Sus scrofa: one gene and its partner. The protein of the gene in region 2 interacts with the protein of the main gene of each other region in a biochemical or structural test. Links are inferred from orthologs where the notes say so. Each region holds a gene or a part of one and is shown on either strand. Other genes may lie near its edges.

Evidence for each region.
Region 1: the proteins of DLG1 (region 2) and PKP4 interact in a test that uses a peptide from one of them, tested with the Homo sapiens proteins (2 studies listed by IntAct, with this or other methods). The link is inferred for Sus scrofa from reciprocal best matches to the Homo sapiens genes DLG1 and PKP4.

The regions. Positions count from the first base shown.
Region 1 is NC_010457.5:65,618,108-65,625,739, reverse strand, and holds part of PKP4 (plakophilin-4), read right to left. Parts: intron 7,105-7,632; coding exon 6,973-7,104; intron 6,863-6,972; coding exon 6,672-6,862; intron 3,899-6,671; coding exon 3,346-3,898; intron 1-3,345. UniProt on the Homo sapiens protein: Plays a role as a regulator of Rho activity during cytokinesis. May play a role in junctional plaques.
Region 2 is NC_010455.5:132,818,751-132,822,730, reverse strand, and holds the start of DLG1 (disks large homolog 1), read right to left. Parts: upstream 2,801-3,980; 5' UTR 2,780-2,800; intron 1,865-2,779; exon of another isoform or gene 1,295-1,864; intron 1,281-1,294; exon of another isoform or gene 1,084-1,280; intron 970-1,083; 5' UTR 940-969; coding exon 921-939; intron 240-920; coding exon 108-239; intron 1-107. UniProt on the Homo sapiens protein: Essential multidomain scaffolding protein required for normal development. Recruits channels, receptors and signaling molecules to discrete plasma membrane domains in polarized cells.

The sequences.
Region 1 (7,632 bases), on a different chromosome or scaffold from region 2:
TAAGAAAAGTAACAAAATGAGCTTTTTACCACTTAGAACTATAAAAAATATCCACTAAACATTCACTTGTTATAGGATTATTAGCGAGATGAAATTACTTTAGGTGATACACTATAATGGGAAATAATCTTTCCAGAAGTATTTCCACAGATTTTTAATGACCTTACCCCTCCAAATAAATGGAAAATACTGATATTACACAATGTTATTTGTCCAACCAATCATTTCTATTTGCAATTCCACAGATACATATTAGTTTACTTATTGCAATGATGTATTCCTTGTGATTTAAAACCTTTATATTTCAAGGTAGTGAACACAAACATAAATTTATCTTCCAAGTACAAATTCTTTTTATTCTCAAAACTTGTCTTGATATGCTATGATTATACTGAAATGAATGTTTTAGGGCAGACATATTTTTCTGCTGTAGGAAGTAATTTATACACACTTAACATCATTGTTGAAATTATGATCACCAAATATCCAAGTGTCTGAATCTATTAAAAAATACTGCTTTAGGCTTATCAATTAGCAGGTTATTTATTAATCCCTTGAAATCAAGAACCATGGCAAATATGATGACAAGCACTTTCTGAAATAAGAATAAAAGATATTTGTAAATTAGAATCCACATTCAGGTAGATAGATGATGGCAAACAAAGCCTCCCTAGAATACTTCTAAGAAAGCCTTTGATTCTTTTGAAGACTGTCGTATTCTGGAAGAAAAAAAAATCTGTAATAGGCTAGGTATAATTTTTTCCCCCCTGAAACAAAGTCTAATCATCTGCACTGCCAGAGAAGCAGGCTTTTTAAGCCAAAGGAGATTAGCCCTCAGGGTTAAACATGGAGACAGTTCTTTATGTGCTCACTTTCTTTCCTGGGCTTCCTTTTCACTCTACTACAAAAATAGATTTCTGCATAGATGTTGTACATACACAAGGGGGGTGCGAATGGGGGAAGAGAAATCTTGTGAAGTATTTATCTCTTAAGGTTTCCTTCAGCGGCAGAATGTCATAAATGATTCCTACCTGACTCTGCTGCATACGTTTCAGAGGCACACAGAAAATATCTAAGCCAAGGACACCTTTCTGATGGCTGAATAAAAAAGAAGTGGTTTCTCCACTAGGAATTTCCTTTAACTCAAAATCAGGTTCAATATTAATTCTCTGAGCAAAAGCATTCAATTAGAAAACCTCAAAATGGCTTTACCTTTCTTAGAAGCCATAAGGAAAGGATAATAATTTTATCACACAAAAGTATCAAAAACTTCTATAAATAAGAAATACCAAAAAAAAAGTTGGAAAACAAATTACAAAACAAAAAAACCCTTGAAAAGTATATTATAAAGGGCTAATTTATTTCAAGTATAAAAAAATGTTTACAAATTATAAAAATGGACAAAAATCCCAAACTTGTGGTTTACAGAAAAGCAATAGAACGGCTGATAAACATATGAAATCATCGACCTCAATCAACTCAACACAGGCAACTTAAAACAATGAGGTACAGCTTTTTAAGTGCCAGACTGGCAGAGATGAAACACTTTGACAATATGCAGGGCTGGTGAAGGTCTAGGAAACAGGCTGGGGGAAACAGAAATCTATAAAACCTTCCTGGGGGCCATTTGACAGAATTTCTTTAGGAAAATATACACACATATTTTGATCCAGCAATTGTACGTCCAGAAATGAACCGCACAGTTGTCTTAGTACCCATGTGCAAACAAGCAGGAAGAATGATATATATTGTATCACTGTCTCTAAGAGCTAAAAATAAGAAACAACCTAAAAGTCTATTAATAGAAGTGATTAAAGAAATTATGCTACATCTATAAAATAGGGTCCTGGGCATCCCTTGAGAACTTTCAGACATATTTTTAAAAAAGAACAAGGTCTAGAAGATATATATAAAAGCAACAGCATTAAAAAAATGCATGTACATCAGTTTGTAACATATATATCTATATATGTAATCAAACATTCTGGAAGATACATACACTGGGGAGTGGGGTTGGGTGAGAGTTAAGAGGAAGGTGAGACTTTCACCTCTCATTTTATATTTTCCTGCAGAGTTTTAATTTTAACCATTGTATACATGTTACTTTTAAAATAGCATTTAAACACTTAAGATGAGTTTCATTTGAATTAAAATAACAAAGTCTATACAGTATGTGGGAAATCCATCATGAAAAAACTCAGAAGTGTCTGTAATATCAGCAACATGGTTGATGTTTTTCTAATTTAATCCAAGTGACATACGAAGATAAACTGTAAGAACTTGGTGCGTTTCCCATCAGGATGCTAAAAATCAAGGCAGTAGGTAAGGAAATCCACATTTTAGTCTGCACTATTAAGGCATTTAAAAAAACATTTTTTTTTTTTTTCCTTTGAGGGTTGCACCTGAAGAAAATGGAAGTGCCTGGTTTAGGGGTTGAATTGGAGCTGCAGCTGCCAGCCTCCACCACAGCCACAGCAACATAAGATTCAAGCCATGTCTATGACCTACACCACAGCTCACGCAATGCTGAATCCTTGATTCACTGAGCAAGGGCAGGAATCAAAATTGCATCCTTACTATGGACACTAGTCAAGTTTGTAACCCACTCAGCCACAATGTGAACTTCTAAAAAAAAAAAAAAAAAAAAATTTGAACAGACATTCTTCTTCTTCTTTTTTGGGGGGGTCTTTTTAGGACTGCACTTGTGGCACATGGAGGGTCCCAGGCTAGGGGTTGAGGAGTTACAGCCGTTGGCCCACGCCACAACCACAGCAACACCAGATCTCAGCTGCATCTGCGACCTACACCACAGCTCATGGCAAGGCCGGATCCTTAACCCACTGAGTGAGGCCAGGGATCAAATCTGTGTCCTCATGGATACTAATCAGATTCATTTTCACTGAGCCATAATGGGAACTCCTTGAACAGGCATTCTGACGACACCTTTTAACATAACTTATTGGTTTGGGTATGGGTAGGCCTAGCTAGTGAGAAATATTTCACTATGAAAAACTTCAACAAACAGTTTACAACTCCAACCAATTCTTCTAAAATGCAAAAAAAAAAAGTACCTTGTATATCCTAATATTATAGGGGAAGGGGTACATATATTCATTGTAAAAGAAGTCTGATGATATAAATAAATATATATGTATATATAATTAGATGCATTAAAAATTAGAAAGTCTGAAAGACAAGTCAGCCTAAGGTCTGCAGTATAAATTCTGAGATAAAAATATAAGCTTTTCCCACATTACGGCGATGTGGAAGCCTTTTCTATTTCAGAGAGGCCTCACAGAAGATTTCCCCACTGGGCTGTGTGCAGTGCTGTCACCTTGTACTCACCTGTCAGGCTGTCTGGCCGAGGTGGAACCATCCTCTCGTAAATGTCATACTGCTGCTGTCCGAATTGTTCCATGTCATGAACAGTCCTCTGCAGGGAAGGTCCCAGATGCTGTGGTACGGCGGTCATCCCTGAGCGTTTGGGGGATGATGACCCCACCTGGCCTTGGGATGGGGAAGCTACTCGAGTCTGTGCATCCGTAAGGGTCAGCGGGGACCCCACTCTGGTGGTGGTTTGGTACTGAGGGGTTGGTCCGTTGGGGTTGGAGGTCTGCCGGGAGGTGACTGACCCAATCCGACGTACAGCTGATGGGGAGGCGGGTCTCTGTGCAGAGTACGGAGAGGCTGCCCGCTGAGCAGGTAGCGTGGTGGAGGAGTACGCACTGGGGTTCAGTGGTCGGGAGTCGGTCACTGATGGAGAGCCAAAGCCACCACCCAGAGAAGTTCTCAGTGACCCCCTTGAAGGAGACACGCCTGTGCTGATAACATAAGAAGGAGACTGTGCTCTAGATGGAACTGAACTAACTCTTCTCATGGCCCGATTGGCTACTGATGGCTGATGAAAGGGGGAAAAAAGAGAATGGGTTTATCCAGGGTTTTGTCTCCATTGTCATTACAGAAAAAAATGCACACAGCTCACTACAGAATGTGCACTCACTATTTAGTTTAGGCTTCTAAGTTTCTTTTCCTTTCTATGCTTTAGAGCTGGATCTTAATTTTTCCTTATTCTTTTTTTTTTTGGTGATTAAACCCTTACGTTCTCCCTTCGGCATACTAAAACCAACCAGTAAAGAGAGATCTAAAGACAGTTAACATTCCTTTTACGTTTGTCTTTACATTTTTTAACCCTCTGCCTATTCATTCTCCACAACACACAATATGTTGTATTGCAAGTGTGAAGGGTCACTGGAGCAGTATACTTATGTGGTGCCTGTGAGTTAAAGTTTGGCGAAGATAATGCATTTGTGTAAAACAAACAAACAAAAAATGTTTTCAATACGTTAATCTAAATATAGTGAGAGGAGTATCTATAATTGTCTTTAGAACTGTCTTCATGGATTGGCCCCCATTAACAAAAGGAATGTACTCTTTCAAAGTGGAGTAACTGAATGTTTGGATAGGGCCTGGGGTGCAGTACTCTTCTCTGTCAATTTACTCTCAAGGGACAACTTGGGTGCACAGGCGCTTTAGCCAATCTGTCTCTTCTTTTAGCTCAAGTGTGGCTGCTAGTGATTTCAGCCGTTTCTACATCCTTTGATTTATAAGCTTTTAATTTTAGCTGGTGGATTTAAAGAGACGCATGTCAAGGTGCCCTCAAATTTGTTCCAGCAAAAGGAATGCTCAAAATCTCGGCTGGGTTCTTGGCCTAGCCAGCTGGAAAAGACCATACTGGGAAATGAAGAACATTTCTGCCATGACTGGTCCTTTTTTGAATCTGTAGACTCTTCCAGACTGAGTCTCAGATCCTTTCCTTGATGCAGCAGAATAATGAATGGTGGCTGGACTGGGGCACTGGTCTGATGGGACCAGGCAGGGACATGGACTCTAGGACTGGGTGGCTTGGTATCTCCCCAGTGACTGCTACAGTACAGGTGTCATCAACCCCACTTTTAGCCGGGGTAAGAAAGGAAGAAACAGGGATAACTTAAGGACTCTCTTTGTGTCCAGGTGTCAGAAGCAGCTGGCTGGCTGAAACACCTGCTCTAAGACCACTTGTGTGCTCAAACTCAACAATTCTGGGAAGGCAATAGCTGTGGAGATCTGGGGAGGGGACTGTAAATACACAACAAGAAAGAGGGGGTATAAAAATTAGTAGACCATTGGAAAAAGAACTGCTTTTGGGGTTTACTAATAGTGCAAAAGGTGATTTTTAAAAAATTCCACATATTAGCTGTTTACTATCAAAAATGGGATGACACTTGGCCCAGATACTTAGAAATTGTGATGCCAAGACTATATGCAAAAGCAGTTTTATTGCAAAAGCAGTTTTAAAGACCCTCTTGCAATCTTCAGCTCCAGGAACAAAATCATCTTGCTGTAAGTAAAAAAAAAATTAAATAAAAAGGTAACATGACCATTTTTAGGGACAAAATGGATAATCTCTATAGTTAATTAGTATTCAGAAACGTGACTTTAGACCTGCTGATGCAGAAAATTCACCTAAGCACATGAACTCCTGTAAGGACTTAGTCCAAAGCTTCCCGAACTCTTCCATCAGAAGAGTAAATGTACCTCTGAGGAACAGTGGTGCTGGGGTGGGATAGTGGAAGTAGGGGAGGTGGTGGAAGTAGGGGAGGTGGTGGGGCGTGGTACAGCTAGAAGTAGTTTGCTAGGGGTACAGGATTTCCTATCTTAGCTTAAGAACTCATGTATCATATTTGCATTTGCTTTAATACAGAAACGCTTCTTAATGCTTAAAAATTTCCCTTAAACTGTTGGGCCAAAGTTATACTGTGTTTCTCCTTTGGCACTGGGAATCCTGGCCCACTGCTGTGTGTACCTTCAGGGCTTCCTATATTGTACTAAGAGAAGCTTAGTGTTTGCCTAATTTTTTTGATCATCTTGCCACTTTTCTGCTCCAGAGAAATCGCTAGGGTACTTGGACAGACAGTCATCCTCACTGGTTACTGCTAGTTGGGACTCGTAGCACTTCTATTAATTCTGGTGTATGCTGGAGGATTGATGGGAATAAAGCAGCAGTGAATGCAGAGCTCAAGAGTTTTTATAAATGCATATGCATTATTATTATTACTAGTGACTATCACATCAAGTAAGAAACCCCAAACTTAACAGAAAGGTTATGCTTCCATACAATAGCTTTCCATAGCTATTGTACACATTGAACATATTTCATCTATGTTCTAGCAAAGGAAAGAAGAGTGTTTTCAGAGAACAATTCTGAAGATGAAGACAAAAACTTTGGTTAGAAATGGCCAAGTTGAGTTTTGCAAGTGTGGGAATAGTGCTCTGCTCTCTAGGACTCTTTATAGAATATTTTAGCTCTAGTATTTTCAGGAATTCATAACCCTCAGGGACTAGAACATTCCACCTAGCTCTCTCATATTCTCCCTAGACTATTCCCCTCATGCCAAACTTGCTGCTTCCAGAAAAATTATTATCCTATGTCTTGAATTGATCAGGATTCAATAGTAGGAACTAATATATTTTAAGGTTTCATGCCTTAACATTGTAGACTCACAGTGTAAAATGATTTTGCTACTTTATTTCATAACTTCAAAATTGTATTGGCTTTACTTTTAATAATACTTATAGTAGATATTCAATTAGGAGGTTGTTTCTTGACAAGGATCTTGATGTGTTTGGCTTACCTGAACCAGTGTTTGTCCTTCAGCTCTTGAATTCCTCACCAGGTGGTTATTAGTTGATCCTATGAATGAATGTTGTGGTCTATTATCTGTCTTACTCAAATTCTGACTGTTGTGGAAACTCCCTGCTTCCTGGTATCCACTGTCGGAATAAGAATTCATTTGTGTTGAACTTCTTGAGTTACCCAATGATCCTGCAGGAATGAAACCAGAAGGAAATATTTTCATTTTATACTCCAGGTGCTCATTTTCAAAAAAGAAATATTAAAAGCACATCTAATACTTAAAAGATAATACAACAGACCCTCACTTTCATGGAGAGATGTCTGTTCTGGTGAATAGAGGGTCCCTTGTTCTGGCTCTGTCCTGATGAGATAGTTGTTGGGATGGACAGTGTCAGAAACCCTAGGTTTGTTTACACCAGTGTTTGGCACATCTGCAAGAAGATAAGTTTGATTAGTTAAAATGAACAATAATGTTACATAAATACTTGCTTAAAAAGGTTCAAATATTTGTCAGTAATATTGCATAATCTTTTTTTTTATTTGCATAATCTTAATATAAGACTGTTACCTCAAGATTTCATATAAGTTAACACAAGACAATTTTCACTTTGAACGGCACAATCATTTTGACTCTTTTCTTTTTTTTTTGTCTTTTTCTCCTTTTAGGGCTACACTGGCAGTATGTGGAGGTTCCCAGGCTAGGGGTCTAATCAGAACTGTAGCTACCAGCCTATTTTGGAGCCACAGCAACGCCTTAACCCACTGAACAAGGCCAGGGATTGAACCCACAACCTCATGGTTCCTAGTCAGATTTGTTTCCACTGCGCCACGACAGGAACTCCTCATTTTGACTCTTTTCTATATGAAAGTGCTCCATATACTCAGTTTATTAATATTTTTTGTTAAATTTCATGAATGTTTTCATCGTGACTATGAGCCATAAATTAAGTTACATATTA
Region 2 (3,980 bases):
ACAGAGAACCAAATACATCACTCTCTTTAAGTTTAAAATAAATGAATTCAGAGAAACAATAAGTCTAGCTGACACATAATGACCACCAATAAAGTTTTGATTCCCACCTATTAAAGCCTGAAAAAGGTTGCTCTGAAATATGTTAATAACCCGTTCTATGGAACTTCTGAGCTGTCTGTCTTCAGTTTGGCTTAGTTTTGAACGATAGTCTTCCAAAAGGTGTAATGCTCTCTGGGTATCTGAAAAGAATAAAAAAGTCTGATTAAAATTATATATTTACAAGAAAATATTACATGTTAGCTGTGTAGCAAATGATTGTGCAAGACATCTAAACAGTTCCCCAAACCCTCCAAGTCAATCCATGCTATATGATCATGCACACAAATATATTCCCTAGAATGATCCAAAAAAAATTTAAACATGTCACGGTAGATGAACAAAAGGTGAGTAGTTTGTAATAAATGTGTACTAGCAGTCTACCCCATAAAAGATCACTTGATCAAAATATTAGTAATATAGTTTCAGGTGATCTGATATACAAAAGCGGATTATCCACAACTCATCATTATAACCCAAATATTGTTTCAAAATTACTAGCTCTTAGCCAGTCTCCCACATTAGCCCACAAAATAGTGCTTAGTAATAATAAAGCCAAATATTGAAACACCAACACAGAATTTTAAAAAAGACATTTCAGAAAAAAAAGTGAATTGCCTCTCCAGTCACTAGAGAGACACAAGGAAAAAAGTTTGACCAACAATGAGGTGTTTCCATCTTCTGAATGATGTGAGGCTTAGATTCCCGAAGCAGAAAGAGTAGGATTGTGATGTCTTTCAGAATTACACAAACATATTTAAAACAAAATAGACATACGGAAAAGCAAGTGACACCCACAAGAGAGTTCCCACGTAAATTCTCACCTTGCTTCCGGACCGGCATTTTCCTCCAGAATCAGGAAGAGGCACACACCTTTAAAGAACAAAACAAAAAGGAAAGAGAACTAAAGAAGAGAATCGTGGTTAAATTAGCATTTCCCCCTAACTCTCAAATCGAAAACCCCCCAGCCCCATTTGAAAAGCCCACCTGGCAAAGTTTTCCTAAGTGAAAAGAAGAACCTCAAAACCCAGCAGTGTCAGTCAATCTAGAAAGCTTTAAACTACGGTGGGTACCCCTGCAAATTAAGAGCTGACAGAAGCTTCAAAATTCTCCTCGAAAGCTGCTCCCTCTCAAGAGAGCACTAAATGCCCAGACATGGGGCCACCCCTCTCCCGGCAGAAGCGTGCATAGTTCTCACCTACTACTGGAAGGGTGAGGAAGTCGCTCCGACCCTTGGCCCCTAAGCCAGAGGCGGCCGTAAAGCGCTCAGAGAAGGGGCCAGCTGGACTGATCACCCCGCCCTGCCCGGACCCCTCCTCTCGCTTGCCTGTCTCCAGCTCGCTTCCTCCGAGCTACTCCAGCAGGGTCCAGACAGGGAAGCGGCCGCTCTCCGCGACGCCCTCGCGACCCACATGCACACCTCCGCGGGCCCCCACACCTGCGGCGCCGCCACAAAGTTCCTGCCAGTGCCGTGCGCTCCGAGCAGCGGTGCGCTCCGGCCGGTCTCGGGGCGGCTCCCCCGCCCTGCCCCGCTCCACGTCCCCCCGCCCCGCCCGGGGCTCGCGGAGCTAAGCAGAGAGGGGTGAGGGAACGGGGGAGGAGCTCCCCTCGGTTGCCGCACCCCCACGGCCTCTTCCTCCTCCGCCGCCGCCGCCGCTGGTGCCTACTCACTCGCCGCGGCCCGCTAGCCCGCTCGCCCGCTCGGCTCCTGGCCGCCCCACCCCCGGAACCTCGCCTCCTTCCGCGCCCCCAACCGCTCTCCCCCCAAACTTTCCGCCAAGATGGCGGCCCTGAAGCTGAACTGCCGCGCCCCCACGTGACCGCTCTCCCGGCGCTCTCAGCCAATGGGAAGTGAGGAGGCGGCTCGCGCGGAGCCCGGGGCTCTCCGCTGTGCTACCTTTGGGTTGGAAGGGGGAGGAGGGCCTGGAGCGGGGTGGGGAACGCGAAAGGGGCCCGGGGAGCGTCTAAGCAAACCTCTTCGTTTAAAGGGGGAGGCCATCGAAGTGGCTCTGAGGACAAAGGAGTTGACAAACAGACTCTACAGGTGGTCTGGGGGGCCTGGAAGAGCCCGCCTCTACCCCTCCTTCTCTTCGCCCAAACCCGCCGGTGTGTCCAGCGTTTCTAAGCAAGTGGCGCGCCAGGCCCGGAAGGGTCAGGGTGTGGAAAGACCTAACCTCACCTACACCAGATCCAAGACACACATTCCGAGACATCCTTTAATCTCACTAAGCACGTGCTGTTTTCAATTCCTGGGCAGGAGATAGTACTTGGAGCCCCCGGAGGTGGATCCCCAACCTGGAAAAGCGTGCTCGGGGAGGGGTCGAATCCGCCACCCACCCACCGCAGGAGGGAGGAAAAGGAAGGAGTTTGGGCGGGGGGGCGCGCCGTCTCTGCACTCATACACTTTGTAATAATTTTTTTAAAGTTACTATTAGTCCCTCAGTAAAAGTTGGGGGGGGGACTGAAAGAAGGGCAGGTAAAATAGGGATATTCGTTAATTTGATAGGAATTTGAGGGTTTTATTGGAGCATTTTTAAGTCTATGTGATTAATTCCAAGTATAAAGGCATTTAAGAATGGGAAGAGAAAATTCGTTCTTTTTCACTCACTCATTCATTCCCCCTTGCCTGCAACCTCCGCCTAGTCATCAGCCCCAATCTCTGGCGGCGCCTTTAATAGCTCACCTGTAGCTACCGCAGCCGAGCCGCAACTTGGCAGGCACGGCTAGTTTAAGTTTCGATTACACCTGGGAGCGGGACTATGGGAGGGCCGGGACCACGCTCCCTGCCTGAGCCACTCAAGTTGTCGAAAGAGAATCCGGAAAACCTCTCTAAGTCACTCCCAGATCTTCGAGCCTCTTCCGCGTAACAGGGACCTACCTCCCTGCTCTGAGGTGCAGAGAGAAGAATCTGCTTAAGTTTGCCCAGAATTAGTGACAAAACTGGAAATACAGAGATCATGTCTTTCAAATCGAAAGTCTCTTTCCAGCAAACCTGATAGCCTTTCACTGAGACAGTACCCTTGGGCCAATAAAGGGAAGTCCGGGGAGACTTGTAGTGTAACAGTTGTTTAGAGGTTTGCTGACCACAGAGTTTCACTTTTGGAATGCACCTTGGAATCCTAACTTGACCCACTCTCTCAGTTTAAGATAAGGAAACAGAGGTCCAGGGTAGGGAAGCAATTTGCCCAAGAATATAGGCTAATCAGCGGCAGCAGCCCAGAATTAGCTCACCTAGCTCCAGTCCAGGGCTCCTTCCACTGCGATTTTTGACAACTTGATAGTAGTATGCTGGTACTGGCAGCAAATCTATGGTCTCCTGCATCATGGAAGTTTGAGCAACAGGTAAAGCAACACTACAAAGAAGAAATGGGATGGAAAAGCAAAAGGAAGCTCTTAAAAGTAAGGAGCTTAAATAGAGGGATTTTTGAAAATAGTAAAATGGTGGGGAGAGTTAATAGTGAAAATGGCTGATGGCTATCAAGACTTCATTGAGGAACTGCGAATGAAAGGGTTCCATTTAAGGAACTATTCTAAGAATGGAATATCTTCAGAATTTAGGAGAAGGAGGAAGGGATTTCACCCACTGTTCATCCATTGTTCAGGAAATGGAGATAAAAACAGAGATCCAAGCCCTGCTCTCAGGACCCACAGCCTAATAACAAATGGATAAAGGCCAGTGCAGGTTTTTCCAGGGGCCGCTGAAAAGTCAAAAACAAAATTTGTACAAGTTCTCAATGTCTTCCTAGTCCTCCCCTAAAAACAAAGAGGAGGGGGAGAAGGAAAAGGAGACGAGGGCACAAAGCCCTTCCTTCTTGTCATCTCCTAGCCCTATGTGGTCAGCTGTGTCCAGAATGGACATGAATGCAGCTAGCCCTTGTTCCACC